3 linked regions of the Arabidopsis thaliana genome follow. The protein of the gene in region 1 binds, or shares a complex with, the protein of each later gene. Each region holds a gene or a part of one and is shown in the gene's direction. Other genes may lie near its edges. The genes, in order: ACD2, HCAR and NYE1.

Region 1 (10,617 bases):
AACAAAAAAAATGGATGTTTCTTGACGCGTGTCGAGAGTACTCACCATTACTCTGACTTCAGTGAGTTTGGTCAAGTGGTCTTTTTTTTTCTCATGTCACCAAAGGTCCAAACCCTAGAAATTAGTTCGAACTTTCCATAGAAGAACTGAATAAATGGTCCAAAATTGTTTTAAAAAGGACCTAAGCCATTAGTTCATTGAATTCGAGTTAATGGGTGAAGATTTTTATGATAACGAAAGTCGGAGTAATTATGCTTTTGGTCCGATAGTTTTCTAATTTGTTTTCTTTCCATTTTTTTTTTTTCAAATACTACATACTATATAAGATAGTGGTTTGTGTTAATGTCATCGATGTGTTACCATCCGCATTATATTAATTATTTATCCCAACATAAAGTCAGAATCTGTAATTTCTTTGTTATAAAATACAGTAAATGGTTCCGTTTAAGCTGTTAGATGATTTTTGAGTAAAAACTAATGTAAAAAAAACAAAAAAAAAACAATGTAGTTCATAATACATGCATGTTTTAAAGAAGTTTCTTGTTTACTATCAACTTGAATAGTATTTCACGAAGTCAAAATTGTTCATTCCGACTTTTCTATGTGGAGAAAAAAAATTCTATCATTGTGCACAATTTAACAGAATGTAATTTCTTGTAAAAGAAGAGGAAACAATTCGCTGTTAGTAAATGTGAAGTATAGAAGTCTAAAATGAGATACCTCAACTAGCTTGAATTAAGAAAAAAAACAAAAACTCTATCGACATGAAAAAGGTCGCAAATATTTATCATTTATCAATGCCAAAGGAGTATTTGGTTCACAAAATACTGAATCATTTATATAGATATATAATTAGCTCTAAATTCTACTATAACTTGCAAAATAAGTATACTGACTCAATTATATAGCGTTTAAAAATAGACGATTTGTATGATGAGGTCCATATATATGGAGATGTGCATGCAACTATCGACATTTTCACACGTTGATATCGTCTTTCTCCAATGGAGACTTGAATTTGTGTAAACTATGAATACTCGTCTCTCTAAGACCTTTTTTCTTCAACCATGCCAACTATTTAGGTAAGATTTTACTGTCTTTGATTGATATTAAATACTTAGCCGTGGCGTTATCAATGAATGATAATAAAAATGCGGATAAAAGCCAAAGGTGTTGGAAATAAATCCAAGAATGAAGACGTAGATGTCGATGGGTATTTTAAGAACTTGAATTTGTCACGACTCACACGTTAAAATATATTATCCGAATTGTTTAGTCTAAAGACACACATATATTGAAAAAGAAAAGGTAAATGAAGCTCATTGGTGCCTAAATGTGAAATGAAGCCGAAATGTGTTAGGTGAACACATTTAAATATACAAAAAGAAATATAATAGAAACAAAACTAATTAACAAAGTCGCAATTTGTATTGTATAAAATATCTTTCCGTCTCCCGTCATATTTGAAAAAAAAAAAATTACAAATCTGTTAATTTTAAAACTTTCTAGAAAAACACAAGTATATAATTTTCTCTTTTCGTGCGTGTTTGTTTTAAAATAACATTGTTTTGATTGGCGACTCAACATATTTTAGCATTTACATATTTCTGCATATATTAAATGATTTATAAACTCAACTATAGATTAAAATATAATTTGACATCTAATAATTTTAACAATAATATAAAATATGAGATTTATAAATTACGAATATAAATATTCAAGGGAGAGAAAAAGTAGAACATAATTCAAAAGATAAGACTTTTTAGACTTTTTTAACAATATTTTTGATGGATAAAAATTATTCAAAAGAGAAGAAAGTAAGAAGAAAAGATGTTTCTGAGAATTTCTAGAAACAGCATCCGTTTTTATAATTTAATTTTCTTACAAAGGTAGGACCAACATTTGTGATCTATAAATCTTCCTACTACGTTATATAGAGACCCTTCGACATAACACTTAACTCGTTTATATATTTGTTTTACTTGTTTTGCACATACACACAAAAATAAAAAAGACTTTATATTTATTTACTTTTTAATCACACGGATTAGCTCCGGCGAAGTATGGTCGTCGTCTTCATCTTCTTCCTCCATCATCAGATTTTTCCTTAAATGGAAGAAACCAAACGAAACTCCGATCTTCTCCGTTCTCGTGTTTTCCTCTCTGGCTTTTATTGCTGGGATTGGGAATTTCTCACCGCTCTCTTGCTTTTTAGTTGCTGATTCTTTTTCCTTCGACTTTCTATTTCCAATCTTTCTTCTTCTCTTTGTGTATTAGATTATTTTTAGTTTTATTTTTCTGTGGTAAAATAAAAAAAGTTCGCCGGAGATGACGGCTGTGACGGCGGCGCAAAGATCAGTTCCGGCGCCGTTTTTAAGCAAAACGTATCAGCTAGTTGATGATCATAGCACAGACGACGTCGTTTCATGGAACGAAGAAGGAACAGCTTTTGTCGTGTGGAAAACAGCAGAGTTTGCTAAAGATCTTCTTCCTCAATACTTCAAGCATAATAATTTCTCAAGCTTCATTCGTCAGCTCAACACTTACGTGAGTTTCACTCTAACGAAAACTCATTTACTCTCAATTTAATGCTTCATTTAATTCGTTTGGTGAATTGAATCATTCTTTTGTAGTTGGTTAGCCAATTTCGTAATTTTCTCATAATTTGGGGGTTGGTGAGAAAACCTTCTAGAAGCTGAGAATGTTCTTGTTCTTTTTTTTTTTTTTTTTTTGGTTTAGGGATTTCGTAAAACTGTACCGGATAAATGGGAATTTGCAAACGATTATTTCCGGAGAGGCGGGGAGGATCTGTTGACGGACATACGACGGCGTAAATCGGTGATTGCTTCAACGGCGGGGAAATGTGTTGTTGTTGGTTCGCCTTCTGAGTCTAATTCTGGTGGTGGTGATGATCACGGTTCAAGCTCCACGTCATCACCCGGTTCGTCGAAGAATCCTGGTTCGGTGGAGAACATGGTTGCTGATTTATCAGGAGAGAACGAGAAGCTTAAACGTGAAAACAATAACTTGAGCTCGGAGCTCGCGGCGGCGAAGAAGCAGCGCGATGAGCTAGTGACGTTCTTGACGGGTCATCTGAAAGTAAGACCGGAACAAATCGATAAAATGATCAAAGGAGGGAAATTTAAACCGGTGGAGTCTGACGAAGAGAGTGAGTGCGAAGGTTGCGACGGCGGCGGAGGAGCAGAGGAGGGGGTAGGTGAAGGATTGAAATTGTTTGGGGTGTGGTTGAAAGGAGAGAGAAAAAAGAGGGACCGGGATGAAAAGAATTATGTGGTGAGTGGGTCCCGTATGACGGAAATAAAGAACGTGGACTTTCACGCGCCGTTGTGGAAAAGCAGCAAAGTCTGCAACTAAAAAAAGAGTAGAAGACTGTTCAAACCAGCGTGTGACACGTCATCGACGACGACGAAAAAAATGATTTAAAAAACTATTTTTTTCCGTAAGGAAGAAAAGTTATTTTTATGTTTTAAAAAGGTGAAGAAGGTCCAGAAGGATCAACGCAAATATATAAATGGATTTTCATGTATTATATAATTTAATTAGTGTATTAAGAAAATAAAACAGATGTTGAAGTTTTATTGTTGCTTAATTTATGTCTTCATAATGTAAAAAAGCATGTGAAATACTTGGTCTAAGGTCATCTACTTAGTTGAAAACTTGTGAAAGAGGAAGAAATTTTACTTTTATGTTTGATTGATTTTCTTTGCAAGTAGTAGTAGGTGGTTTCCGTGTTTTTACGTAATCCGTTGAATATTTTTCCCTCGAAATTGTCTTTATAAAAGTCACAGAAACATTTTCTAGAACTCTTTATCAGGAAAATAAAAATAAAGATGTCTTCAAGGAATCGAAAAAATACAGCAATATACTAAATAGAAAATGCTATGAAATTAAATAAAAATTTAGTAAGGTTCCAAAGACACTACTTAACTAGAGAGAAAAATAATTCCAACTAGCTCTACAACAAACAAATCATTTACTTGTTTAAGAATCGAAAAATTTAGAAATTTATTCTTATTATTTGTTTGCCCAATTAAGTCGCTCTTGGCCCAATACTTGCATCACTTGATTGAGTAGAAGAAGATCACTTACCAACTCTCAAACCATTTAAAAATTAAAAAGCATAGTTTATTTTATTTAAATATGTGTATGTAATAATTCACCACAAGAAATATATTACAAACCACAAAACTATAATCCCGGTAAAATAGTAATTAATTTCTTCAAAAGTGTAAATAAAAAAGAAGAGACATAATTTAGTCATAGCCACATAAAAAATGGCGATGATATTTTGCAACACTCTCTACTCTTCTTCTTCTCCATCATATCTCTCGCCGTTAACTTCAAAACCGTCGCGATTCTCAAAGAATCTCAGACCTCGAGCTCAATTCCAGTCCATGGAAGACCACGACGATCACCTCCGCCGAAAATTTATGGAGTTCCCGTATGTGTCACCCACGCGGAAGCAGCTCATGGTTGATCTCATGTCGACGGTGGAGAATCGCCTCCAATCACAACTCCTTCCCTGTAACCTCCCTCCAGATGTACGAAACTTCAATAACCCTAACGGTTCCGCCGAAGCATCTCTTCATATCAGATCCGGCGACAAATCTTCTCCGGTACTTGCGACGATTAACTCTGTTTTTCAGTTATGAGATCGAAATTGACTGTTTTGCATGCTTGTTTTAGAGCTCAATTGCTTGATTTTAAGTAGAAACAGACTTCAATTTCGATGTAAATCATAACCCTAAAAAAAAACTTTTTAGAGAATCTTAAAGTTTGTTTTGTTTTGCAGATTGATTTTGTTATAGGAAGTTGGATACATTGCAAGATCCCAACAGGAGTATCTTTGAATATAACAAGCATCTCTGGATTCTTAAACTCATCAACAAAAGCTCCAAACTTTGTGGTCGAACTAATACAGAGCAGTTCCAAGTCGCTTGTGCTAATCCTTGACCTCCCACATCGTAAAGATCTTGTTCTTAACCCGGATTATCTCAAGGAGTATTACCAAGACACTGCTCTTGATTCTCATCGACAATCTCTCCTTAAGCTACCTGAAGTTAACCCTTATGTGTCTCCTTCTCTCTTTGTCCGTTCTGCTTTCTCTCCTACTGCTTCGATGCTTAAGATTGATGCGGAGGAAGAGGATAAGTTGGAGGAGATATTGAGAGATCATGTTAGTCCAGCTGCTAAGGAGGTTCTCGAGGTTTGGTTGGAGCGGTGTGTGAAGGAAGAAGAAGAGAAGATTGTGGTTGGGGAAGAAGAGAGAATGGAGTTGGAGAGAAGAGATAAAAGCTTTAGAAGGAAGAGCATAGAGGACGATTTGGATTTGCAGTTTCCGAGAATGTTTGGTGAAGAAGTTTCCTCCCGTGTTGTACACGCTATTAAAGAAGCTTTCGGTGTTCTCTAGATTATGTAACTATATATATACATCAGTTAATGTTCATTGTACTAAACATTTACTTTCATCAATGTCACAAGAACGCAAGATGACCATCAAACAAGTCCTGTTTTCTCCTAAGAACGTCTTTGTTGTGAATCATCTCTGAATCGGATTCCTTCTGATTCATTTTAATACTATGGGATTGTAAATTTATCAATCAAGTTTCTAATTTATCTGTAAAAAAAAGTCTTGAATTATTGTTTTTCTCATGGATTTTAAAGTTTTTTTTTCACTATTTTACATGGATGTTTTGTTAAATTTCTCGTTCTCTAGATCATGTCATTTTACATTAGCAAAACCAATATAATATATAGATTAATATTAACGAAGGAACATAAACGTGCAAAACTAAAAGTTTTAAAGCTAAATCGCTTTCAAAAGAGTTAGTAACCAGACAAAAAAGAGACAGATCATCGGCAACTAATCTCGTCATCGCATGCATCATAAACCAAATTAACTAAATCATCCATTTAATCCATTTGTTCTTATCAGATCATCCTTTTCCTTCCTACACAAGAAATGGTTAGTGTTTTCTTTTCTCGATTGTCTCTTAGTTTAGATTCTTTATCCGACTACTTTGTTCATCGGTTTTGTTTTTCTTTTTGTCTTCCGGAAGGCGAATTACATGTCGGAAGCAGCACAGCTCAGAAGAGGTCTAAAGCCTAAAGGGAAGACTTATGGGTTGACCAATCAGAAGAGACGAGAGATCAGAGAGATCTTTGATCTTTTCGACATAGACGGTTCAGGTAAACTATTAAACCGATTCTTTATCCGATTTACAAAGTTATTGCTCACATGATTTAGTGCATCATTTCATATGTAGGTAGCATCGATGCTAGCGAGCTCAACGTTGCTATGAGGTCAACGGCAATTTTTCTTTCTTTTTCAAAGTTATTTTCTTCAAGTTCTAGTTAAGTATAGTACTAAAAAATTATCAGCTGATTACAGGTCTCTTGGATTTGAGATGAATAATCAGGTTTGTTTGTTTTCCTTCCTTTTTTCTTCTTTGTTTTAATTTCATGGTTTAGATCATTGTACGTAGAACCAACTTGTATTTAGTTTGGTCATGTTCATTGTTGCAGCAAATAAACGAATTGATGGCAGAAGTAGATAAAAACCAAAGTGGAGCCATAGATTTCGACGAATTTGTGCATATGATGACAACCAAATTCGGAGAACGAGACTCCATAGACGAATTGTCTAAGGCGTTTAAGATCATTGACCACGACAATAATGTGAATAAATCTAAACCTGTCATTATTTCATTCTTTTTAATATTATCTTTTTTTGTTTGGATTGATTTCATTGTGTTTGACTGGACAACTTTTGGAATGTTTTAGGGGAAGATTTCACCTCGTGATATAAAGATGATTGCTAAAGAATTGGGAGAAAATTTCACAGATAATGATATAGAAGAAATGATCGAAGAAGCAGACCGTGACAGTAAGCAAAAACACATAATAATTTTGCGTTTTATCTATAATCGGTCCCTCAAGTTCATGTTTTTGCCTTAACCTACGCAGAAGATGGAGAAGTTAACTTGGAGGAGTTCATGAAGATGATGAAGAGAACCTCTTACGGCTAAGTATAAATCAATTAGTAATGGTTGTGAATAATATTTGTTAATCACCTTGATTTATAATAATAAAGAAGTTTGATTTGTGGCTTGGTCGAATAAAAATGTATTGTTGTATAAAAATAATAATGTAATTCACATCCATTATTTTGAATATGTAAATGTCCTTGAACGAACATTTGTTTTATCATTTTTTATGTATAAATGTCTTTGACCAAAAAATAAATTATGTAAAATATGAACCAGAAACGATGTTGTTTAGATCTGATACTTACATATAACCAAACGACGACGTTGCTAGAGTAATAAATCTCAAAAGACTGGAAACGACTGCGTATAAGTCCGTGACCTGGTTACCGGAGCGTAACTTCTCCGGCGAATTGGACAATTTTGAGAAAGACGGATTATGGACTCCATGGAAGCTCCATCTCTACCATTTCAATCTCCCTCTCGTTCCAGGTTTTAATTTTGAGTTTATAAGGATTATCTCATACCTTCTAACAAAAACCCTAAAAACCCAATTTGTTTTTTTGGTTTGCAGTCAACAATTGCATTTCTACCTCGCCGTGGATCGTCCCCAATTCAAAATGGTAAGTAAATTGTATCAATATTCCTTGTAATTTCTCATCAAGACTGAGATTCTGAATCGCAAATTTCGAAACTTTGGATGTGGGCACAGGAGACTGTAGTGGAATTATTAGGCGTTCTAGGTCGTCGTCCATGGCTTCCGATTGTAGTCTGTTGCAGCTCTCGTGACGAACTTGACGCCGTCTGTTCTTCCTTATCCACTCTTCCTTACATTTCCTTAGCCGCTTTGGTATCTCTCTCTCTTCTTCTCTTTAACTTTCATAGCTGAGGCATGTTTCTTCTTAGTCTTCTCTTTGGTATTTGATTTGAAAAGACCCTTCTTGTTGATTCACTTGCTTGGTTCATCATGATTTGAGTTCATTGTCTTTCATTGTTTGATTGATATCATCGGTTTTTTATATCCGTTTGTTATTGTTCTTGTTGTACCACTTTCTTGTTCATCATGGTATTAACTTACATGTTCTTCCCACTAGGTTATGTTTATGTTCAACGTCTTTTGTGTCTACAGTACAGCGATCTAGCAGATAGAGAACGAGCTATGGTTATAGAGAAATTCAGGCAAGCAACAATCAACTGGAACCAGCAACTTAACTCTGTGGTAGAAGAAGGTTTGGAAGAGAGTGAAAACGGAAAAGAAGAAAAGACATCTCATTTGGTAGTTGTGACCGATGTTTGCCTTCCGTTACTCTCATCAGGAGAATCTTCTCTATCCGCACGCGTTCTCATAAACTACGAGCTTCCTACAAAGAAGGTTGGTTGGTATTTTTCTTAATCAATCTGCAATTGTCAAGTCAAAATGTCCAGAACCTTCCTCTTATTCACTACTTGTAATGACCATGTTTCAGGAAACATATACAAGGCGTATAACAACTTGCTTAGCTTCAGGTTCTTTTTTTTTTCTTTCAAAACAAACTCTTTTTGTTCATCAAACAATGTCACTTAACATTTGAGACTTTTCTCTTAAGGTGGAATAGTCATAAACATGGTTGTTGGAGGTGAAGTAACGACTCTCAAAAGCCTCGAAGAAAGCAGTGGCATACTCATCGCTGAGATGCCAATCAATGTATACAGTAGAACCAATCAATCAAAGAAAAAGCAAGAAACATTCTGCTGTTTTTATCTTAGGTTAATGACTTCAAATGTGCTTTCTTATTGCAGATTTCTGAAATCTTATAACAACACATGGATCTCCGATCTGAAGAATTCTAAATGGGGTTAATGGCTCTTAAGCCTTTTGAAGGACTAGAGGAGATGAATGGTGGATTGATAACGCTTTATTTGTTTGATTGTATCCAGATGTCTCTTGACCATTGCGCTCAAATCATCAAAGCCAAACTTATTGTAAAACCAGTTTCTTTTTTTCTTATATTATTAAAGAATGTTGAAACGAAAGAAAGTTTTGTTCTTTCTCTTGTGTATATTATCAACATACATGTACATCAAATTGCAATTTTCTTTTGTAGCTCCCTACTAGTTAACCTATGGTTTAGTACGTAATTACCAAATCATTAAGTGAAAAAGGAAACAACGCATAAGAGTTTTTTTTTAAAAAGTACCGTTACGCTGAACCCTAATCACATGTGGAAAAAGGAAAAAGGAAACAAGAGAAAAAAGGAAATCCCTAACACATCATTAATGTTTATAGAATAGCCTCATCGTTTAAGTATCTTCGATCGATCATCACAAACAAAAACCTAGAGAAACAAGAAATACAGAGAGAGAGAGGGCTATAGATTGAGAAATACGCAATTTCATGCTCTCTGATTTCTCCGATATCGGATTCTCTTCTTCGTTTAGAATCATTACGCTAGCCGATGGATTCGGTTCTGTTCGCTTAGCCGTTACGAAGATTTTGCGAAGACTTGGGTGATAAAAACGGCAATTGACGACGGAGATGGCGATAGAGAGGGAAGATTGATGAGGATTCATCGGAGATTATTGGTGAGTAACCGTTGGTTATCGTTGACTGGTCAAACCTCTTCGTTAGCCGTTACGCTCCAAATTTTTCACACTTTGATTTGTTGATTTGCAGTCGCTCTTCGACAAACCGAACGAGAAACGAACGTGATGGAAGATGATGTTGATGACTCTTCTTCGACCAAGATGAGCCCTTTCTGGAGAATCGTTCCAAAAATTACAGCGATCGAGATGAGTGACGATCCAGAAGTTAAAGAATGATTACGTGTCGCCGGTATTTCAAGCTTCAAAGTCATGATGATGGAGCTTCAATCCGGCGAGGAGCTGCAATCGACGACGGCGGTGGCGATACAGAGAGAGAAGATTGAGGAGTGGCTTATACGTTTCCGGTGGAGGTTTGCGATGCAGAGAGACGTGGTGGCGTTAGATTCATGACATCAACGAAGCCCTTTTGCCTAACAAAGCCCACCTAAAGGAACAAAAATTTCAGCCCATAAAAAAGGTCAATTTCTATCCAATCTTCTTTTTTCTTTTTTTTTTTCAAAAAATTAGCAGCTTTTCGAATATTTATACTTTAAAGTCACAAAAAAAGATTTTGAAATTTTTTGTTTTTTTTTGTTGTTACGGATTTTAAGAAACTTGGATACTAAATTTATATAATGATAGGAAATCTAACCGGATTTTGGATCCAGCATTAGTCGTTAGCGATTCCAAATATTCAACTTGTTTTTTCTATTATTATATAGATTAACATTCAAGTTTTTAATTCGGATTTTTATAAGTCGTTTTTACATTTTGATTTTGTTTATTTTTTGGATTTTAAAAACCGTTTTTGTATTTGTTTTTTTAATATTTTATTTGCTTAGATTTTAAATTTATATAATGATAGAAAATCTAAACGGATTTTGTATCCAGCATTAGTCGTTAGTGATTCCAAACATTCAATTTAGGCCTGGGCAAAAAAACTGCTAACCGATTAACCGAACCGAACCGAAAAACATGGTTCGGTTCGGGTTTGGATAGCTTAAAATAACCGGCTGGATATTATATGTCTTAGATTTCGGTTTCG
Region 2 (10,617 bases), on another chromosome or scaffold:
ATAGTTTGATCTTCTCAAGAGAAGTATTCATCTGCCTAATCTCCTCTTCAGACAAGCTTTTGCTACACTGCTCAAACTTCTCCTTGTCGCACTTCAAGGCTGTGTCTCTACACGCTCTGATGCAACCGCTAATATCGAGCAAGTTTAAGATCACCGGACAGTTTCCGATGCTTTTGACCAATGTGATTGCTAACCAAACTTGTCTGTGTTCTTCTCTTGATGATCTTACAATGCATAGCTTCGTGATTGGATTCACATATTTCACTTGGAAGGAACCGAGAGACGAACCTAGACCACACTCGCCGAAATTGACGAGGATACTGTCTTTGATTGCTTTCGAGAGATTGAATTGTGTAAGAATGATCGGTGTTCCTTCTCCGAGAAGATCCTTGTCCGGATCCAGAAAAACTTCCATTAACATGTATCTGTTCTTAAATCCCACCATGCTTCTTCGAATCTCCTCGATTTGATGATACCAAGTCGGCGGCTAAAGATATTCTGAACATGTAGTTAGGGCATTTTATATGTAAGAAGAAGAAGAAGATAATCACGTGACTCCACGTGACTTGCTTACTTATGGACTTGGGTCTTTGAACATATCTGAAATGGGCTTAGTTATAGCCCATTTCATCTCATACGACTCCGTGATTTGCTAACTAATGGGCTTAGTTATATGGTCCTAGCCTAGTTAATCTCCAACGTTCCCTTCGTTGTTCATCGGAATCCCTAGAACACTCGATTTCAGCAAAATCAAATCGGATTCAGTGATCAAAAGTCAATTTGGTCGAGAAGAAATTGAGCGTTGAAGATGACGGAGGCGATGATAAGAAATAAGCCAGGAATGGCGAGTGTGAAGGATATGCCGCTGCTTCAGGATGGTCCGCCACCGGGTGGGTTCGCACCGGTCCGATATGCCCGCCGGATATCCAATACGGGTCCTAGTGCAATGGCCATGTTCCTTGCCGTTTCTGGTGCCTTTGCTTGGGGAATGTACCAGGTCGGCCAGGGAAACAAAATCCGCAGGTAAGAACGACTTGTAATAGCTCGTTCACATTTCAATTTTTCCTCTAAAATTCGAGATCGCCTTGGTAAAATTAGTGTTGTGGAGTGATTGATGACCATAGTAATGTAGTGAAGGATACATTTTGGTTAATAATTGTTGAAACTTGAGTATGTTTATCGTAGGAATTGGTTAATATTATTAACCTATGGAAACATAGGCTTGTTGAATCACTGTTATGTATTCTGTTATTAGTATTCCCCGACATTTTGGTTGAAGCTTAATCAGCATGAGTTTAGCCTTAAACGAATATAAAGTTCGTCAACAATTTGTAAACTCTTAAAGCCACAATTGCAAAGATGTGAGAATCTGTTATGATGAAAGCAATTATCTAGTTGCATGTTTTGATAGTAGTTATCGGGATACTGTTTCTATGTAGATAGATTGTTTTAGTATTATATCTGGCTTGATCATTAACTTCTTATGCATTTACAATGGTCCTAAACAAGTCTGATTTGATATCAGTAAGTATCAAGATTAATGCTCTTATCAAGATTGATGTGATGTTTAGGGCATTGAAGGAAGAGAAATATGCTGCTCGTAGAACAATACTTCCCATTCTTCAAGCAGAAGAAGATGAAAGGTAAACCATATTCTCAAATTTAAGTCAATGTGCCTGCAGCAACCTTCAGATAGCAATCTTGTTTCAATCCCCGTTTTGCATTCTAGGTTTGTGTCTGAGTGGAAAAAGTATCTGGAATATGAGGCTGATGTAATGAAAGATGTTCCGGGATGGAAAGTTGGCGAGAATGTGTACAATTCTGGTCGCTGGATGCCTCCGGCTACTGGGGAACTCCGTCCTGATGTGTGGTGATTTCCTAGTTTCTCTCAAATGCATATGATGATGATGAATGATGTTTCGCTGAGGATTGATATGTTCTTGTTATATCTTTTTTTCTTCGGGTAATAAGAGAATGATTCAACAGACAGTATTCTTCTTGTATTGGTTTTCTCTTAAGTGTTTCAATCGTAATATGAGGCAAAAACAGTTTCATGATTCATCAGCAAGCTGCAAGAAATTGGCTTATTTGACAGCTCCAGGTGAAAAATATTCGAAAAAGCTTACCGAGTGAAATCGAACCAAATCATATATAATTATATGTGAATTTAATATCCAAAACAATAAAATTTTGAAAACAAGAGTTCTTGAAAATGAAAAAAAGAGTAAAACCTTTTCAGAAAATAAATAAAATTAAATGCTAAATATAGTACATGAAAATGAGAAAAATATGTTAGATTTGTGAAATCGTTAATGACCATGGTTAAATGGCGGGATCCAAAATCCGGTTAGATTTCACAACGTCATATTAATTTAGTATTTATAAAATCTTTTAAAAAAAAGAAAAAGGAAAAAAAAAGAGAGTTGAAAACATTTTTAAAAAAATAAAATAAAAATAATTAAATGCTAAATATACATGAAGATGTGAAAAACATGTTGGATTTGTGGAATCGCTAATGACCACGGTTAAATGGCGGGATCCAAAATCTGGTTAGATTTCACAACGTTATATTAATTTAGTATTTATTAAAACTTTTAAAAAAATCAAAAAAAATTTGAAAAACTTTTAAGAAAAGAAAACAAAAAATAAATGCTAAATATACATGAAGATGTGAAAAATATGTTGGATTTATGGAATCGCTAATGACCACGGTTAAATGGCGGGATCAAAAATCCGGTTAGATTTCACAACGTCATATTAATTTAGTATTTATAAAAAACCTTTAAAAAATTATTTATTTAAATGTTTTAGTGAAAGTTTTAGTTTTGGTTAAAATAATTTTTAAAGAAAAGAAGAAAAAAAGTTAGAATGAAGAAAGTCCTAGTGTAACGAAGGCCTCATACAGCAAAGCCCATTCCAAAGTCCTAGTGTAGCTCTGTCGTAACATTATCCACCAATTTTAGGTCAATTTTGTAAAACTAAACTACAAGATCATTCCATGGGAAGCTTCTCTCCGATATGCAAGACAAGACGCCAAAGAATGGCAAGATGCAGAAGAGTACACCCACCGTTTATCATCAAAACCTGACAGAGTAACGTCACAAGAACCAACAGCTAATCTCTGGACAACACCCCCTATTGGTTGGACGAAATGCAACTATGACGGCACTTACCACAGCAACGCTCCGAGTAAAGCGGGTTGGCTCTTACGGGATGATCGAGGAACCTTTCTAGGTGCAGCTCATGCTATAGGCTCTATTACTACCAATCCGATGGAAAGTGAACTCCAAGCTTTAGTCATGGCCATGCAACATTGTTGGAGTAGGGGCTATAGGAAAATTTACTTTGAAGGTGACAATAAAGAAGTCTCAGAGATTGTCAATGGTCGGTCTTCAAATTTTGCAGTTTTTAATTGGATAAGAGATATAAGCGCTTGGAGATCAAAATTTGAAGAATGCAAGTTTACTTGGACAAGGCGATTTTCAAACATGGCTGCAGATGCTCTGGCAAAACAACAACTTCCTTTGAACACTCAGTTTTATTGCTATAACTATATCCCGTTTGTAATAACTGATTTTTTACATCGCGACTTTGCTACAGCAAATTATTAATAAAGCTGATGTTTGAGGAAAAAAAAAAAAACTACAAGATCAAACCCTAGTTCCTCCGATGAAATTGCGGTTAGAAAACTAAATATTGATTGACCTAATTCAAAGAGACCTTTTTTGTGCAGAAACTAAATATTAAAAATCCAAGGTTCCAAGAGATCAAATAGGAATTTAAGCGAGAAGCAACATACCTGAGTCTCGTGACAACGGCGCGTGGTTTGCGTCAATACTTGGGACTCTCGGTGAGATCCGCCATGATTTGCTAGAGAGATCGTGAAACGCAAGAAAACAGAGAGACAAACGGTGGCGAGATCATTGATGGTGTGATCACCGAGTTACAGTTCCGACGGTTCTGACGGTGGTGAAAATGGATGGTGATCATCGAGCTTTGACGTTCTCGTGATCGGTGAGTTCTTTTTGTAAGAGAGGAACAGAAACAAACAGAGGCTAAAAAGACAAAAGAAGAAGAAGAAGGTGGATTTTTTGTTTTCTTCTCGTAATCCATGCTTTGGACCTTGTATCAGCCACTTATGATCATTTGCTATATTGATGCTTTCCAATTTTAGAGTATTGAAATGGGTTTCTTTGACAATCATTTTGAGTTAGTCATCATTCCTTGTTCTGAATCAAGAATTGGCTTTTGTTATGTTGTCTAGGTTCTGCTTGTAACTAGAGTAATGCTATTGTAGTCTCTGTTGTTTATTTGTAGAATCATAGAGAGTCGTGGAAGCATGTTTTAGTTGTTACTCTCGATTTCTTGTCGATGTTGTGGTGTTATAAATTGAGCGTTTTAACCAATACAAGTTAGGAGATGGTTAGTATGTGACTATGTGTTAGTGGCCATGTATGTAGTTCGATCAGATAATCTGAATGATGTGCTAAAGAGCTTGCATAGGAAGACTGCCTTTGTGTTAGCTTGCATAGAGACTTGTTGCAATATATGAGACTGAAAACTATTATGTGAAAACTTTAATTTGTGTACAAATATTTTTAACTCTTAAAATTAAACTAACATTGTACCAATTAGCACATGAAAGAAACACAGAATTCTGTGAACATATGATGAATAACTATATAAACACATTATGGATTCAGTTAAGGAGACAGAAACAAGAAGATGAATTTCAGATATATAGCAATAGAGTCACTTATAATCATATCAGAGCTTATACTTTATACAAATTATCACTTTAGTCCTTAAATTAAAACCGATTTAATCGACAATCTTGTTATTCTTTAAAACAATTTGTTCTTATTTTCAATCTTTAAATTTTGCAACAATCGACAGAACTTATCGTTATTCCGTGTTTTTATTTTCATATCTTTCTTAAAATGTTTCAAAATAATATATGTTTAATATTTTCTGATTTACAATAGTTATTAAGTTATATGAAATATAATTATTTTAAATTTTATTTTATTTTTCAGAAAACTCTTATAAGAGAGCTTACCATTAGAATATGAAAAAAAATTAAAACTCTCTTATAACTTTTTAAAAATTTTAATAATAAAAAAATGGAGAAAGCCCGTGAAAGAGCTCTTACGAACCAAAACCATTCAGTCCGGTTAAGAATTGGTTATCAAGTTTGGTTCCTAAAAGATATCCAAGTTCAAAAGCAAAAAAATATCTTCTTTTCTCTCTCTCTACTCTCTTCTCTTCTTCTCTTCTTCTCTTCTTCTCTGGCTGGGCAACCATGATTACTGTCGTCACCTCCAGGCTCTCTCTCCTTCCTCCAGTCTTCTCCGTCGTTAACTCTTCTTCTTCGCGTTCCAAAGGTGCTCAATTTATTTCTGCCACGTCTTCTCTTTATAGCACTCTGTTTTACACACGTCGTTGATTCTTCAGTTTTTTAAAAGACCCGTCTTATACAAAATTTCAGTGTAACCGATCCCTGAAATTCGTTAAAGGGATGAAATTTTATCTAAGATTCGGAGTTTTCTTTTCGAACATAGTGGTAATGTTTGTCGAATGCTTGATTTGGTCTTCCACAGCTGTCACTATCGAGTTTGAAGATAGAAATCTTGTGTTAACTTAGTATGTATTACTGCATAATGTCAATTCTGTTTGAAAGCATCAGAATTTCGGAACAGATTTTTGTTTCGTATAGCATCGATCTTTGTCTTGTGTGTTTTTATCTTCTCTCTGAAGCCTGCATGAACCCTTCTCTTATGGCTTTAATTGCAGATATGAATCTAGAGCCAAAAAAGAAGGTTAAATTAAGAGAAGACTGGAGAGAAAAGTCCAGACCTATCCCACCCGGAGGAACCTATCCAGCTAAAGACCATTGCAGGTTTTTTCTTTCTTTTTTGTTTGTTTGTTTGTTTACCTCACTATTTTTGTCTCATTCTTATCAAGATCCTTGGTGTTCTGATGGGTTTGCAGTCAGTGCGGGCTATGCGACACCTACTACATTGCCCATGTGAAGGAGGCATGTGCATTTCTTGGAGATGGAATGTCAAGGATTGAGGTAATGTCCATATAAATGGATAAGATTTGATACTCTTTTTAATTGATGGGCTAAGATTCTTATTTTGTTAATATTTTAAGTTCTTGTGCAGAGCTTGGAACCTGTTGTGCATGGTAGAGGAAGGAAAGCAGATTCCTTACAAGATACATATTTTGGGGTGCATCAAGAGCAGCTCTATGCTCGTAAGTTGAAGCCTGTCGAAGGTAAATAGACACTTCCCTTCCACTGTTCCACATTTTCTACTAACTTCTTTTCCTGGCTCAATCTAAGCTAGGGCACTTTTGTGTCTCGTTCAAGATGAATTTAGCTTAGCTTTGTTGTTTACTTTTCATTCTATTTTCGGTTGCAGGAGCTCAGTGGACTGGAATTGTCACAACCATAGCCATTGAGATGCTGAAATCTAATATGGTTGAAGCTGTCGTTTGTGTGCAGAGGTAAAACTACTGTTGAATTTCAGAAATGGACTAGGCTTACATTTATCGACCATGCTGTAGATTTTTCCATCTATCCATGTAACTGATTTATTGAAATATTACAGTGATCCTGAAGACAGATTATCTCCAAGACCAGTATTAGCCAGGTTTTCCACCTTCCTAATGTGGTTTATTTTGAGTCCATTCTTCTTCAAGTCGCCATTTTTTAGATGTGGATCCATATTTTGCTGTTACTCTGGATATAGAAGCGTATTGATGTTTCATTTCTTTTCATTCTAAGGACACCTGAAGAAGTTTTGGCTGCAAGAGGTGTCAAGCCAACTCTGTCTCCTAATCTGAATACTCTTGAATTAATCGAGGTTATTTGCCAAACCCTTATTTCTTGTTTGTGTTTTCAATCACTGAATCCATTTCACATGAACTTAGAATTTGTATTGTAACAGGCTTCCGGAGTGAAGCGTCTTCTGTTTTGCGGTGTGGGTTGCCAAGTGCAAGGTATGGGCTCAACATACTTTTTTGTGGACGTATATTTCAAGTTTCTCCATATCGTGACTCTCATAGTATTGTAATGCAGAGTGATTTCTTATACTGCAGCATTGAGATCAGTGGAGCAGCATCTGAATCTGGAAAAGTTGTATGTACTAGGCACCAATTGTGGTATTTTCCTCATCCTATCTAGATTTGTTTTTTCTCCAGAACTTTCACAACTAGTTCTTGTGTTGTACTTTTGAACATTCCATGTTGTATATGTTATTTCGGAGTCTTGTATGCTTAGGTCTAGAAATGCTTATACATTTTTAAACAAGTAAAAAGAACATCTTTGATTAATAGTGGACAACGGAACACGAGATGGACTAGACAAGTTTCTGAAAGCAGCTAGTAAAGAGCCAGAGACTGTTCTCCATTATGAATTTATGCAAGATTACAAGGTTAGCATTAATACAAAACCATCACTTATCTGTGCATTTTCTTTGGTGATGCCAATCTTGTTCAATTTCTCTTATAGGTCCAACTCAAACACTTGGATGGACACATTGAAGAGGTAAATTCGCTTAAAATACTGTGTTGCTCTGCAATTGCAGCTGAAAGCCGTTTTTAAAAAACTTTTTTTGGCTAAAGCAGGTTCCCTATTTCTCTCTACCTGCAAACGATTTAGTAGATGTCATAGCTCCATCGTGTTACAGGTAATACAAGTCTCTGCATTGTCTCTATACCTTGAAATAGATAACCTGTCGGAAATTTTTAAAACTTGTCTACAATTACAAACCCTATCTTTTTTATTCTGCAGCTGCTTTGATTACACAAATGCATTAGCGGTGAGTGTTTCTCTAGCAATTAAGATGTCTTTTCACTTAATTTTGATTCTGCCAATTTCAAACATTTCCTGATATGTATGAGCTTGTTTATCTAGGATTTGGTTATCGGTTACATGGGTGTTCCGAAGTATTCAGGTCTGAACATGACTGACCATCCACAGTATATTACAGTGAGGTCAATATTTCTACGTATTTTGACATGGACCATATAGGTTCTCGTGGTTGGATAAAATTAGTTTTGTTTATGCCTTAAACCACAGAAATGAACGTGGGAAAGAAATGCTCAGCTTGGTAGAAAACCTTTTGGAGATCACTCCAACAATCAGCAGCGTAAAGTTTCTAACATTTATATTTGTTGTTATATTTAAGACTTTAAGAGTCCACTTAACAAATAACATGAACAAACACACCTTTTGTTGTTGTTTCAGGGTGATCGGCGACCTTTTGTGACAGAAACTGTTAAGGCAGACGATGCTGCTAAGTTTGGTATGTTTTCAAACGTATTCGAAACTCTTTTGTTTCTTGAATCGTCTCTGCTTAAAGACATTCAGTTTCAAGCAAAGCTAGATGCCAAAAAGAAAGTTCTCAGCAAATGCATGCAACTAACATTGTGCTAAAGTCTTCTAACTAGTCTATAATTTCTTAGGTCAAGGTCCTGCTCAGCCAGCGCCACTATTTGTTGGAAACATTATTGCGTTCATCCTAAATTTGGTAAGATTATTTCCTTATGAACACAAACCGAGAAACAAGCTCATTGCATAAAAAGTCAAAGAGTTTCTTAACTTGCAAAACCATTCTTGCTTCAGGTTGGTCCTAAGGGTCTAGAATTTGCTCGGTACTCGTTGGACTACCATACCATCAGAAACTATTTGTACGTAAACCGCAAATGGGGAAAGCAAAGGTAAGATCTGAAACACACTCCTAGAGATAAAAGTTTATTGCGATCAACTGTGTATTTCTATACTATTGGATCGTTCTCTAATGACCAAAGCTGCATTACCATCTACAGAGCAAACACCCACATGCCATCATATGCCAAAAAGATAGTGGAAATGTACAACAAAAACGGCCAAATAGATAAAATGCTCTCCAAGAAATGAACATTTTAGGCCTTTCTCATGTAAGTTTCCAAATGTATATTTCATCCTACAAGTGAGTAAATGTACATTGGTCCTACTGTTTCTCAACTTGTAGTATGTTAGTAATATCCAAAACTATTTCCCTCGTGAATTTGGTAAGACACCGGCAAGAAAAGATGGGTCGGTTTGGTGTTTTTTGGCAGAGAACAGAGAATAAGAAACAGTCTAAATCAGCGGCTGAATCCAAATCAACCCATGTGGGTTCCTTCCTCCATATCTTTAGGTTAAGGTGATGTCCGAGTAAAAGGTTGCAGGGTTTTGCATGAGAACATGAATAACTGTTTTAAGAGGATGGGAACCAGACATTTACACAGTTGGGGGGAATTAGCTTTTAATGTCTTTTTTTTGCTTGGACAAAGAAGAAGGAACCATGGTTAAGCTTCACTCGCTCGCTCACTCACTCACTCACTCACTAACTTACTCATCACCATATTTCACACATTGGAAACTTCAAATTTTACTCTCTCTCTTTTTTTCTTTTTTTGTCTTTTTGTTAGTCAAGTCTCTGCTCTGCTCGTTCAATGACTTTGCTGCAGAGACTCTCAGACCTCAAGTGAAACTCATAAATGTCTCTGCTCTTTTGCACCATAGTTGATTTTTTCTCACCAGAGGCATTGTCCTAATACAGAGCATGTAAACGTTTTTTCTAATAATATATTTAAGTGAAATAAAGCTTACTTTGGTACCTTGAATTAATTTTGAGTTGCAATTTGACATATAACAATGTTAGAGAATTCATTTACGTATTGCATATTTTGGATCTGTATCTGTATCTGTTTCAGTATATATATATTTATAACTAGATCCAACATCATATATAATATATGATTTCACTCAAGTTTTTCTGAGAAAGTTGTATAATGTTATATTTATTATCCATCTGTGTTTCAAATTAGATACATTGTTCATCCCTAATGGATTTTGCATATCCTACAGAAATGCATGTTTCAGTATTTTCAACTTGTGTTCCCTGGAGGTTGTAATCCATGAAACAACTTTAATATGGACTGTCCAAGACAATCATGTGTAAATCAATCATTTGCCAAATATAATGATTACAAAATGGCTAATAATTCCTTAATCAGTTAAATAACAGCTCTAACTTGTGAGAGTATTCTTCCAATAATGAAACAGCATGAAATTAGTTGTTTCTTTTCCTGATCAACAACATCATCATAGAGATAACACAACATGCATCGTTGAGAAAAGAATTACAAAACCGTAAAATATATTTGTCATATTAGATTAAGCAAAACTTCTTACAAGAGTTCAAAATCTAAAATGAAGATTTAAAAAAAATACAACAACAAAATAAAGCACTCTTAAAATAAAAATACATAAAAAAGCCACATCTTCCTAAAAAAACAAAGAAAAATCCCCCTATTATTTTTTTCTTTTCACAATTCTCTTTTTTTTGGGGGTATTTTCTTCCGAGGAGAGGGCTTAATTATCTTCTTCTTTTTTTGAATATTTTTTTCCCTAAATTTGATAATGATGATTAGAAATGTGAAATACAACGACGATGACGAGCAGCAGCAGTTTTCTTCTGTTGCTTAGACTCTTCTTTCCACCTATTAGCAATATCATGAGCCACACTCATAGCATCAAGCGACGCACCAAACAATCCTTTTCTCGTGAACCCTACCGCATAC
Region 3 (10,617 bases), 5.4 Mb from region 1:
TTTTTCGCTGTAGATGAGTTGATCTTTCTGACTTTCTCTATTTACTGAGATATTTTGAAATGCAAACAACTTTTATTTTGAGATACTTGATGTTTATCCGTTTGTAAGAAAGATGAGTTTGACACCAGTGCTACTGCTAGGCTATGTGTATGTAACAATATCTATGACTTAATTTTGAGTATATAAAGTGTCCTTATATTGTTCAAATTAGGACTGTACATACTATCAACATGTTTATAAATTTAGAAAATAGTCATTTTCAGGATTAACAATAAATTTCCTTATTTGGATATATATGTCCACATGTATCTCGCCCTGCTGTAATACAAATGCATATACAGTGTGTGTGTCAGTAGAAATATATCATATATGATGATGACAGATATATCTACATAATGCTAGGGATGAGACGAAGCATTGTAGTAAATAATGCTAGTTTTGATCATGGTTTGCATTATACATATCAATAAATATATTTGCACATGTTTAAATCAGACATGATGAGTTCATGATATAACACATTCTCATTCATGCGAGTTTACAAAATTACAGATGCTTCTTTTGTATATGTGTATGTGGATGTATATATATGGGAAACTTTATATGTATGCATGAATATGTAAAATTTAGCAACAAATTAAGAGGTACTATTTTGCTTAATTTTAACACACACCGTGATTTAATTGAGCATTAACTGTAGAGAAGTCATCGCATGTGTGTAGATCAGAATTATTTTAATTCTTTCTACGTTTTCTCTTATTTTATTCTTTGGGATATAATTTATGCTGAATAAATATAGATTTGATTATAAAGGATTAAGCACTTAACAATTAACTATGAAATGTCTTTTGAGCAAACTCAAGAGAGGTTAATCACAATTAACTAGGTATTCTTAACCACATAATCCTTGTTGTTATCGCACTGCTTAATGATACTCTAAAGGTTTAGCTTATTAATTTCAATATTTCGATTTGAGCGTGTCCATGTGCATCTATATATACTTGTCTCTTTATATGTATATTGGCGTAGCCATGTAAAATATTGATGCATGATTTGAATCATAAATCTTAAATACAATATATTTGATATTTTCTGCATTTTGAAGTAAAGAGGAACACTCTTTTGTTTTCATATAACCTATTATTTTGTTTAGAAAATAAACATGTATATATTATATATGGTCCTCGAAACATGAGATCATATCCTAACTTTTGGGAACAATGCAACTAAGCCATATCTGCATGATTCTCTGTGATTCTCTTCGTTCACAGTTCAGTTTCAATATTTAACGGTCATAAATCATGATGATATATATTCTAAATGTCAATAAATAAATGGAATTTATTTATTTAGTCACATAAGTATATACTTTTCACACATATATGCATATATAGCTTCAATTGGTTTTGACTCCACATTTTCGTTTCTTTTATTTTCATTTGATTCATTTCAGTATAGCAGCAACAATTGAACGCTATCAGAGACGAATAAAAGAAATTGGGAATAATCATAAGAGAAATGATAATTCTCAGGTAAATTCTCATTCATATTTCGGGTTTTACATATTGTAAACGTACGATATTTTTTATAAATATTTTTTTTGTGTGTTCCAAATATTTAACCGACTATACTACTTTTACTTGACAGCAAGCGAGAGACGAAACATCTGGATTGACAAAAAAGATTGAACAGCTAGAGATATCTAAACGGTTTTGAAACTCAAAATTTCTTATGAGAAACGTTTATATAAAATTATAAACGAACTATAAGATACTTTGATTGTTGAATAATTGCAGAAAATTGCTTGGAGAAGGCATTGATGCATGTTCCATCGAGGAGCTGCAACAGTTAGAGAATCAGTTGGACCGAAGCTTGAGCAGGATAAGAGCCAAGAAGGTATTATTTATACTCATTTCCAGTGATAATGGAAATTAGGATTAAGATACTATAATCGTTTTTCCGCAATTTTAGAATATTAAGATTTGATGAGAAAATTTTATGTTTACTTAATATGATGGAAGTTATTATACATGTGTTTGGCTCTTTGCGTTTACAAAAATAATTTTACCATACTAATCTAGTGATCTACACAAGTAATTAAAAGATATAGTTAAAACCTAGATTCAATTCATTTAGCAAAAAAAAATTCATCATTTTTAGTTATTATTATATATGCAATACCGTTAACAATTGAATGGTTTGCATGGTCTCGCTAATCATGCATGCATGCGTTCTTTATTTAATGTCTATGTGAAATTGTGAATGGTTTGCATGGCCTCACTAATCATATCATCAGCCTCATTGAGGCCATGCAACATTGAGTAATTTTATTGATGATTCCTCAATATAACATTGAAACAATGAGTATCAACAACGCACTTAGTGTTAGGATACTTAGTTGAAAGATTCCTTGGAATATACATGCAAATGTCTTCATAATCTATTAATAATGTGGAAATTTGCTTATAGATTGTTCGTATATTCAATTATTTTCAGTACCAATTACTCCGTGAAGAAATTGAGAAGTTGAAGGCAGAGGTAAAACACAATTCATACTTAAACTTTTTTTTGCTTTCTCTAAATGTAATTACATATATATAGAGTCATCCTGTATCTCGTTATTAATACTTCATATAACTGTTCCTTGTCAAAATCTTACTAGGAGAGGAATCTCGTTAAGGAAAATAAAGATCTGAAGGAGAAGGTACAGTTTTAGCATCTTATAAAAGGTATTATTTTTATGATATGTTAATATGTTGCTGAGTAGAAGAGTTTTTTCGGTGAAATTGTGAAAATAAAAGTGGCTTGGAATGGGAACAGCAACAATAGCATCATCACAATCAACGTTATCATCATCAGAAGTGAACATAGATGACAATATGGAAGTGGAGACTGGTTTGTTCATTGGACCTCCTGAGACAAGACAATCCAAAAAATTCCCTCCTCAAAATTAATCTTACAACTTCTTCAAAAAGAATGTTTTAACTATATGATGTAAGAACTTTTTATCTTTATATATTTTCGTCCAAAAAAATTGAGATGTAATAATTAATATGTTCTTAATCAAAGAGTTAAACTTAAAAATTTACCTGTAACTTACAGTTCCATTACTTGTATCTATTAGGACTTGAACAAACCGAACTAAACTGAATCGGTTTAAGTATTTAGTTACGTAACATACAGAGAGAATAAAAATGATTAGGGACATAAGCCTTTAGGAGTGGGGTCTCTGTAACGAATAAGTTGGATTGCGTACTGTCGCTTTCCGGCGAATTCAATTCTGTTCAGACATTTCTTTTTCACTTTTATTGTATAGTTTGCGTTTGTGTATTGCACTTTCGATATTCTCTCTCTAATTTCATCATCATATTCATTCACAATGTATCTCTTTGTAATACATTCAGTGCCGTGGCTTTCAAGCTTTTGGTCAATATGGGTTGTATCATTTCTTATCGGAGGAATAAACCGGCGGCACCAACAGGATTGCCGGAAAACCGTCCTCGTTTCCATACTCTTCCATCAGAAAGAAGAATAGCAAATGATCAAGCCCAAAAGGTGACAGAATTGTTGAAGATGAGTGATAAATTAGGTCCAAAGGAGCTGAAGAGAGAAGAAAGTATTCTCGTTGTTAATGTTCATCCTCGCTCATCGGAATTAGCTGCCTCTGGTTGGCCACCGTGGCTTATTTCTGTAGCTGGTGAAGCCCTTGTTGGTTGGACCCCTGGTCGTGAATCTCACTTTGAGAAGCAAGAACAAGTCTCTCGCTCTTTCTCTTCCTTTCTTTATTGATTCTCATATGATAAAGAGACTTATTCTCTGTATTTGCAACAGATTGGGGGAGGAACATTCAGTAAGGTGTTCAAAGCTAGAGATCTTCTTCGTAACAAGACCGTGGCTTTGAAGAGAATCCGGTTCGATATCAACAACTCAGAAAGCATCAAATGTATAGCCAGAGAGATCATAATCCTGCGCAAGTTGGATCATCCCAATGTCATCAAATTAGAAGGGTTAATGCTTGTAGACCACGATTCCTCTACCCTTTACCTGATCTTTGAGTACATGGAACATGACCTCTTGGGACTCTCTTCATTACTCGGTGTACATTTCTCAGAACCTCAGGTATTCTTTATCGCTTCTATTCACACTCTCTTCATTACTTGGTGTCAAATTCTCAGGTACTCTCTTCTTCTTCTTCTTCTCTGTTCAGGTTAAATGCTACATGAGGCAGCTCTTAAGAGGGCTTGATCATTGTCACACTAATCATGTACTCCATCGGGATATGAAAAGCTCGAACCTTCTGATCAACGGTGATGGAGTCCTCAAGATTGCAGATTTTGGGTTAGCTACGTTCTTCGATCCTCATAACAGTGTTCCTTTGACAACCCATGTTGCAACTCTATGGTATCGACCTCCTGAGCTTTTGCTTGGAGCTTCTCATTACGGTATTGGAGTTGACTTGTGGAGCACAGGCTGCGTAATAGGTGAATTATATGCCGGAAAGCCTATTCTTCCAGGAAAAAATGAGGTAAGCAATTAGATTCCTATCACTCTTGTTCTTACCAGATAAGCAAAGCTTCAGATTTTTGTTCTCTGTATTCTCATGTTAAGACAGACCAACTGCACAAGATATTCAAGTTGTGTGGATCGCCTTCAGATGATTATTGGACAAAACTAAAGCTACAGCTTTCAACTCCACTGAGACCCATCTATCCATATGGATCACATATAGCAGAGACATTTAAACAGTTTCCAGCTTCAGTTATTTCGCTCTTAGAAACTTTGCTCTCAATAGATCCAGATTTCCGAGGCACTGCAGCTAGTGCTCTCAAGAGTAAAGTAAGTTTGGACTTTACGTATTCCTCTGACAAAAATGTTGTTCTTGTGACTTCAACTGATTATACTCTTCACTGTGAAACAGTACTTCAAAACTGAGCCATTGGCTTGTGATCCATCTTGTCTACCAAAATACCCTTCAAGTAAGGAAATCAACATCAAGATGCGCGATAACACTAGAAAACAAGCTTCACAAATAAGAAGAACAGACGAAGCTCAAGCTGTTCAGCCAATTCTAGCAGATTCGTCTCCCACAAAGCCGATGCAGGTATCTCTCTACTCTTACGGTTTCTTGGTTTCTTGAGTGTTTTGGCAGAAATATCCGAAATAAAAGTTTATGCATATGCAGAGAAAGTCCTCAAATTCCAAGAGCAGAGACAGTTCACTTACAAAGTCTTACGAGGAAGACAAGACTTCCAGTTTACCGGACCATTCTGCTGGGAAAATGCAAACATCTACAGACATGATAACTGAAGATGAAACTAACGCGAAAGTCTCTTACATGGACCCATCTACAGAAGAACCGAATCTAGGCGGATCAGTGAATATGGAGGAACGCATACCTTGGCCAATGAGTCCATCTACACTTCACCCAACAGCATTTCTGCCTAGCCTTTACGAGAATGGAACATCTTCGTCGGGAGGACTAGGAATCAGACCCACACTGATTGAGAATTATACTGTCATTTAGATTCAATATAGAGAAAATAGACAGATTCAAACACAAAATAAACATTATTGGTCAGTATCTTGCTTTTATTCCTCAAAAAATGCAGGGCATAACTCAGCCGTAAGAAAATTCAATCCAAAAGGTACACGAGTTCACTTATTTGGGAGAAAAAATTTGACAACTTCAAATCACCACATTATTTCAACGGTTGCCATTGAAGGGTTTCTCCAGCAAACATAGGGACGATCTCTCCGAATGGGAAGTTGAAAACGTCTGGAACCTTCCAAGGAGATTTCTTCAGTGTGATCTTTGACGAGTTTCTCGGAAGGCCATAGAAATCAGGTCCATTGAAACTGGTGAAAGCTTCCAACTTGTCCAGCGCACCCGCCTGAATGTTAAAGAAGTTAAAGTTATGAACATAAGGAATCACAAACCGGGAAAGTAAACTGTTTGAAGTTACACAGTTTACCTCATCAAAGACCTTGGCGTATAGGGACAAGGCAATGGGAGCGCTGTAAATACCAGCACATCCGCAGGATGATTCTTTTCTACTCCGTTCATGTGGAGCACTATCTGTGCCGAGGAAGAACTTCTTGCTTCCACTAGTTACAGCTTTGACAATGGCTTCTCCTGTACAATGAAGTAAAAGCAATGATCTTCCGAAAGCTGCTGAAAAAATGAAATATTAATGTTCAAAAGGAAAGTGAAGAACATACTATGTATTTCTCTTTTGAGAACGGGAAGACAGTAGTTGTGAGGTTGTAATCCACCTTGGAAAAGGGCGTTCCTGTTGAGAAGGAGATGTTGTGGTGTGACTGTTGCACCCACAGACCCTATAATCAACAAAATGTTATGAGCTATGCAGATTAACAAAAACCAAAAGACAAGAAATGAAAATAAGATAGTAACAAAACCTTCTTTGCAAGATTCAACAAAATTCACAGCATCCATGGTTGTGATGTGTTCCATCACTACTTTCAGCTGCGGAAGGCGTTGGATTAGAGGCTGCAGAACTGTCTCAATGAAGATTTTCTCGCGGTCAAAGACATCGATACTCGGATCTGTGACCTCCCCATGAACCTAATCAAAACATTCCTCAGACAAGACAAAGACAAAAATACAAGTCTATGTGGTGTATGATTTATTTACCAGCAAAGGCATGTTTTGTTTGACCATCTCTTCTAGTACCGGTAAGCATTTTCCAAAGAGATCCGTGACACCATCTTGAGAGTTGGTTGTTGCTCCGGCAGGGTACAGCTTCACCGCATAAACCACACCACTTTCCCCTAATAACAAGATCATATATGCATAAACTGAACATTAGCAAGTAGAATCTCAATCAGAAAGATGAAAATGTATCTGATTAGTTTGCAACAAGATGGAGAAAGCACAGGTACTTACTTGCAAGCCTGATCTCTTCAGGTAGAGTTTTGTCAGTCAAATAAAGTGTCATAAGTGGATCAAAGCTACTCTCAGATGGCAAAGCTTTCATGATAAATTTCCGGTAAATAATGGCAGCTGCAGTGGAGGTGACAGGAGGCTTCAGATTCGGCATCACAATCGCTCTCTTAAAATTACTCGCACTGCACATAATTACATACACCATTAACCATCATGTACAGCACAAGCATCAACGCCAGCACAAGATTGTGATTGAGGAATTCATACATAACAAACAATGGTTCCACAAGAAACACCAATAGCAAACAAAAAAGTGGCTGCAAAACAAAGTAAAGCAAGGAAAGAAAAGAAAGATTGCAGGATGTTTATAAGACCTGTGGGGAACAACAGCATGAAGAAGATCACCGTCACGGAGATGAAGATGCCAATCATCAGGTTGAGTGATTGTGAGCTCCATTCTTACTGCTCTCGTCTTCACTTTCTCAGAAGATCTGTCAAACTTCAACTTCTGAGATCCAAATCCCTACATAAAGAATAAAATAGTTGACTTTAACAGACGCATAGGAGGAATTAAATAAAATTAAAACTGGATCACGTGGATTGAACTAAACAAGAATAAGACTCAAAGAGTGGTGGAGGTAGAGTACATACACTATAAGGAGAGACCAAAGTCTTTATCATCTGAAAGCTGCTCAAGGCTTTGCAAGAATTCACCTGTTCCAAAGCAAATGACAAGTAGACTCAGATTCTATAACATGACCTTAAAAAATTGACTCTGTTCTAAAGTATTAGCAGGCACTAAAACTATTCAATCATCATCAAAAGATTTCGCATTCCTTTGGTTCAATGTTTCTCCAAACGAAATTTAGTATCCAGATTAATCAAATTTCTATACACACAAATGGGTATCAGCAAAATCCAAAGAAATCAAATTATCCAAACAATAAACCACAAAATGGCGAAACTGGTAAACACCTAGAAACCAAAATCGAAAACTTGAACTTGTTTAGGTAAGCAATACGAACCTGGATAAACGAAATGCACAACAGGGATGCTTACAACACAAACAAAACGAACCCCAAAAAGAGTGATTTGAGGAAGAGATTGAAGGAGAAAGAAGAAGAAAAAACAGTACTCGTGTTTTGTTGTTTACAAGATACGACGTCGCTTAACGTAAAAGAAGAAGAAAAAAATAAAAGCTCTGTAACAGGCCAGCCCAATTTTAGCCCGATATTTTTAATGGACCTGGACCTGATCACAAATTTCAGCCCTTTTTAACATCCTTATGGATCAACATGGGACTCTCTGACTCCTCCGGTTCCATCAATACCTGCGTTTGTTGTCCTTGTTCACGACGATTCAAGCGAAGAAGCCTCTCGAGTTTCACAGGTCTAATAACTAAACCGAGTAATCGAGTCGAATGACATTAAATTGAACCGAAACTAAACCGTATTGCTTTAGGTTCGACTGACAACTACAGTACGTGAGTTAGGTTCGGTTAGAGCCGAATCTGTGTCTCTTTGTCGCAACGAGATGGCTAAAGTTATCCAAAAAGACGGTTAGAGCCAGTTGTTAGCCCCACCATGACGACACATGGGGAAGCTCATGCAAAGATTAGAGAACACGTGGCACTCTCTCGTGTTCAGAAAAATTCCAAAAGAGTGTTCAGATTTGGGCACGGAAGTGTGAAACGTGAAGCAACAATCCCTTTTAAACACAAGAACCAACTCAATACGCATCACAAAGAACCCTAAATTCCTGGAAGATCTCAAAAGGAAAATTCAAAACCAAAGCTTCAAGCAATCATCAAGCAAAGGAAAAGCTCAAATTTTGGGTCTTTTATATATTTATTTCTTAAAGTTACAATCTTTTTGATTGTGGTTTCAGTGTACGAACACGCAAGAACTCGCGTGAAAAAATTGTATCCAAGCTTCGTGAAAGGAGTCTCTCTGTATTTAGTGGCGTTTTGTTCTGTTGTTATTTCTGAAATATTGAAGCTTTTGATTTGGGTTTCAAGAGAGCAGAGATGTGTAGTTTGTCGGCGATTATGTTGTTACCAACGAAGCTGAAACCAGCTTATTCAGACAAACGGAGTAACAGTAGCAGCAGCAGCTCACTCTTCTTCAACAATAGAAGATCCAAGAAGAAGAACCAATCGATTGTTCCCGTAAGGATTTGTTCTCTTAATCATTTTGACATATCTTTGTTTTATGTGTCTCAGTTATGGATATATCTATGCCTCTGTCTTTATTGATGGAACTTGAAACTTTTGGGATCGGTGCAGGTTGCAAGGTTGTTTGGACCGGCGATTTTCGAATCATCCAAATTGAAAGTACTCTTCTTAGGGGTTGATGAGAAGAAGCATCCTTCAACGCTCCCTAGGACTTACACACTCACTCACAGTGACATTACAGCTAAACTAACCTTAGCTATTTCTCAATCCATAAACAACTCTCAGGTAAAAACACCTCTCTCTCTGGTCTTAACATATCTACATGGCTCTGTTTATAGGAGTAGAATGTTTATGTATTTGATTATTTGGAGCAAATATTAGAGGCTTATGTATGATTGTTTTAACCTATGTATGTGTCTATATTCACCAGAATCTCTTAACACTTTAGAGGCTGATATGTATAGAAATGTTTTTTATAGTTGCAAGGATGGGCAAATAGGCTATACCGGGATGAAGTTGTGGCAGAATGGAAGAAAGTGAAAGGGAAAATGTCGCTTCACGTTCATTGTCACATAAGCGGTGGCCATTTCCTTTTAGATCTCTTTGCAAAGTTTCGATATTTCATCTTTTGCAAAGAACTACCTGTGGTAAGTTCCCAAATTCATAAGAAACTTTTTATTGGTTTCATGTAAAACAAAATGTTTATTGTTTTGATATATACAGGTGTTGAAGGCTTTTGTGCATGGAGATGGGAACTTGTTGAACAACTATCCTGAGCTACAAGAAGCTCTTGTTTGGGTCTATTTCCATTCTAATGTCAATGAGTTCAACAAAGTCGAGTGTTGGGGTCCGCTTTGGGAAGCTGTTTCGCCTGATGGTCACAAGACTGAGACTCTTCCCGAGGCTCGGTGTGCGGACGAGTGTAGTTGTTGTTTTCCAACCGTTAGCTCGATTCCATGGTCTCATAGTCTTAGTAATGAAGGTGTAAATGGTTACTCTGGGACTCAGACTGAGGGAATTGCTACTCCAAATCCGGAGAAACTCTAGTGACTAAATATCAAATTACAAGTTTTTCTTTTGGTAGTTTGTACAAAGTGAAAAGGAAATGGCAGGACTTTCCTTTTGGTGGATCTAAATATTGGTTTGGTTTGGTGTACATAATGTGGTATAGGAAAATAATGATTATTTGTAGGTTAAATACAGATTTTAAAGTTTCAAATGGTATTTTGTGTCTACTCTGAAGTCTTTATCATAGTTGTATACTTGTATTGTATCTCATCCACAAGATCAAAATGTAAATTTCTTACAGATTAGCTAATATTAAAGGTGACAGACTGGTATAGTACTACTGCAATGCAAACATAAAGATGAATAAATTGTTGTTTAATGAACATATATATTTTAATATATCAAAACATTCATGAGAATCATCACCAATTTAAAGTTATACTAATATCCCAAATAAGAATAGTTTAGAAATATGAAGATATTCATGAGAATCATCACCAAAGTAACAATAGACGTATATTAAGGACCGAAT

What was found.
Region 2: ACD2 (region 1) and HCAR share a complex: the UniProt entries of both Arabidopsis thaliana proteins name them as parts of the SGR1-CCE-LHCII complex.
Region 3: ACD2 (region 1) and NYE1 share a complex: the UniProt entries of both Arabidopsis thaliana proteins name them as parts of the SGR1-CCE-LHCII complex.

What each region holds. Positions count from the first base shown.
Region 1 is NC_003075.7:17,438,329-17,448,945, forward strand, and holds ACD2 (accelerated cell death 2 (ACD2)), read left to right. Parts: upstream 1-4,283; 5' UTR 4,284-4,298; coding exon 4,299-4,640; intron 4,641-4,816; coding exon 4,817-5,434; 3' UTR 5,435-5,967; downstream 5,968-10,617. Other genes in the region: HSF4 (heat shock factor 4), read left to right, coding at 2,332-2,550, 2,743-3,378; CEN2 (centrin 2), read left to right, coding at 5,987-5,989, 6,084-6,213, 6,291-6,327, 6,416-6,443, 6,550-6,702, 6,808-6,910, 6,991-7,052; AT4G37020 (initiation factor 4A-like protein), read left to right, coding at 7,450-7,502, 7,585-7,633, 7,723-7,860, 8,140-8,382, 8,477-8,516, 8,597-8,850; AT4G37022 (uncharacterized protein), read left to right, coding at 9,385-9,471, 9,536-9,572, 9,664-9,755, 9,833-9,916. UniProt on the Arabidopsis thaliana protein: Catalyzes the key reaction of chlorophyll catabolism, porphyrin macrocycle cleavage of pheophorbide a (pheide a) to a primary fluorescent catabolite (pFCC).
Region 2 is NC_003070.9:1,281,178-1,291,794, reverse strand, and holds HCAR (coenzyme F420 hydrogenase family / dehydrogenase, beta subunit family), read left to right. Parts: upstream 1-5,175; 5' UTR 5,176-5,302; coding exon 5,303-5,384; intron 5,385-5,793; coding exon 5,794-5,899; intron 5,900-5,991; coding exon 5,992-6,076; intron 6,077-6,167; coding exon 6,168-6,279; intron 6,280-6,425; coding exon 6,426-6,510; intron 6,511-6,614; coding exon 6,615-6,656; intron 6,657-6,790; coding exon 6,791-6,869; intron 6,870-6,953; coding exon 6,954-7,005; intron 7,006-7,104; coding exon 7,105-7,167; intron 7,168-7,341; coding exon 7,342-7,439; intron 7,440-7,516; coding exon 7,517-7,552; intron 7,553-7,632; coding exon 7,633-7,694; intron 7,695-7,798; coding exon 7,799-7,826; intron 7,827-7,921; coding exon 7,922-8,001; intron 8,002-8,086; coding exon 8,087-8,156; intron 8,157-8,254; coding exon 8,255-8,312; intron 8,313-8,472; coding exon 8,473-8,537; intron 8,538-8,632; coding exon 8,633-8,727; intron 8,728-8,835; coding exon 8,836-8,926; 3' UTR 8,927-9,632; and 1 more. Other genes in the region: EMB1687 (ribonuclease P family protein / Rpp14 family protein), read right to left, coding at 1-445; MEE4 (GRIM-19 protein), read left to right, coding at 809-1,023, 1,572-1,643, 1,730-1,874; AT1G04625 (Polynucleotidyl transferase, ribonuclease H-like superfamily protein), read left to right, coding at 1,975-2,101, 3,007-3,563, 3,875-3,964; YUC3 (YUCCA 3), read right to left, coding at 10,464-10,617. UniProt on the Arabidopsis thaliana protein: Probable iron-sulfur flavoprotein that converts 7-hydroxymethyl chlorophyll a to chlorophyll a using ferredoxin as a reducing equivalent. Catalyzes the reduction of a hydroxymethyl group to a methyl group. Belongs to the chlorophyll catabolic enzymes (CCEs).
Region 3 is NC_003075.7:12,016,283-12,026,899, reverse strand, and holds NYE1 (non-yellowing 1), read left to right. Parts: upstream 1-8,256; 5' UTR 8,257-8,293; intron 8,294-8,365; 5' UTR 8,366-8,930; coding exon 8,931-9,071; intron 9,072-9,188; coding exon 9,189-9,362; intron 9,363-9,556; coding exon 9,557-9,724; intron 9,725-9,800; coding exon 9,801-10,124; 3' UTR 10,125-10,437; downstream 10,438-10,617. Other genes in the region: AGL19 (AGAMOUS-like 19), read left to right, coding at 1,454-1,532, 1,648-1,709, 1,797-1,896, 2,497-2,538, 2,663-2,704, 2,802-2,954; AT4G22940 (Protein kinase superfamily protein), read left to right, coding at 3,433-3,756, 3,832-4,119, 4,208-4,525, 4,609-4,836, 4,919-5,101, 5,183-5,524; PYR4 (pyrimidin 4), read right to left, coding at 5,700-5,891, 5,973-6,133, 6,220-6,336, 6,418-6,583, 6,653-6,789, 6,905-7,086, 7,279-7,427, 7,556-7,585. UniProt on the Arabidopsis thaliana protein: Magnesium chelatase involved in chlorophyll a degradation in the chlorophyll-protein complexes of photosystem I (PSI) and photosystem II (PSII). Contributes to the degradation of PSI and PSII in the thylakoid membranes.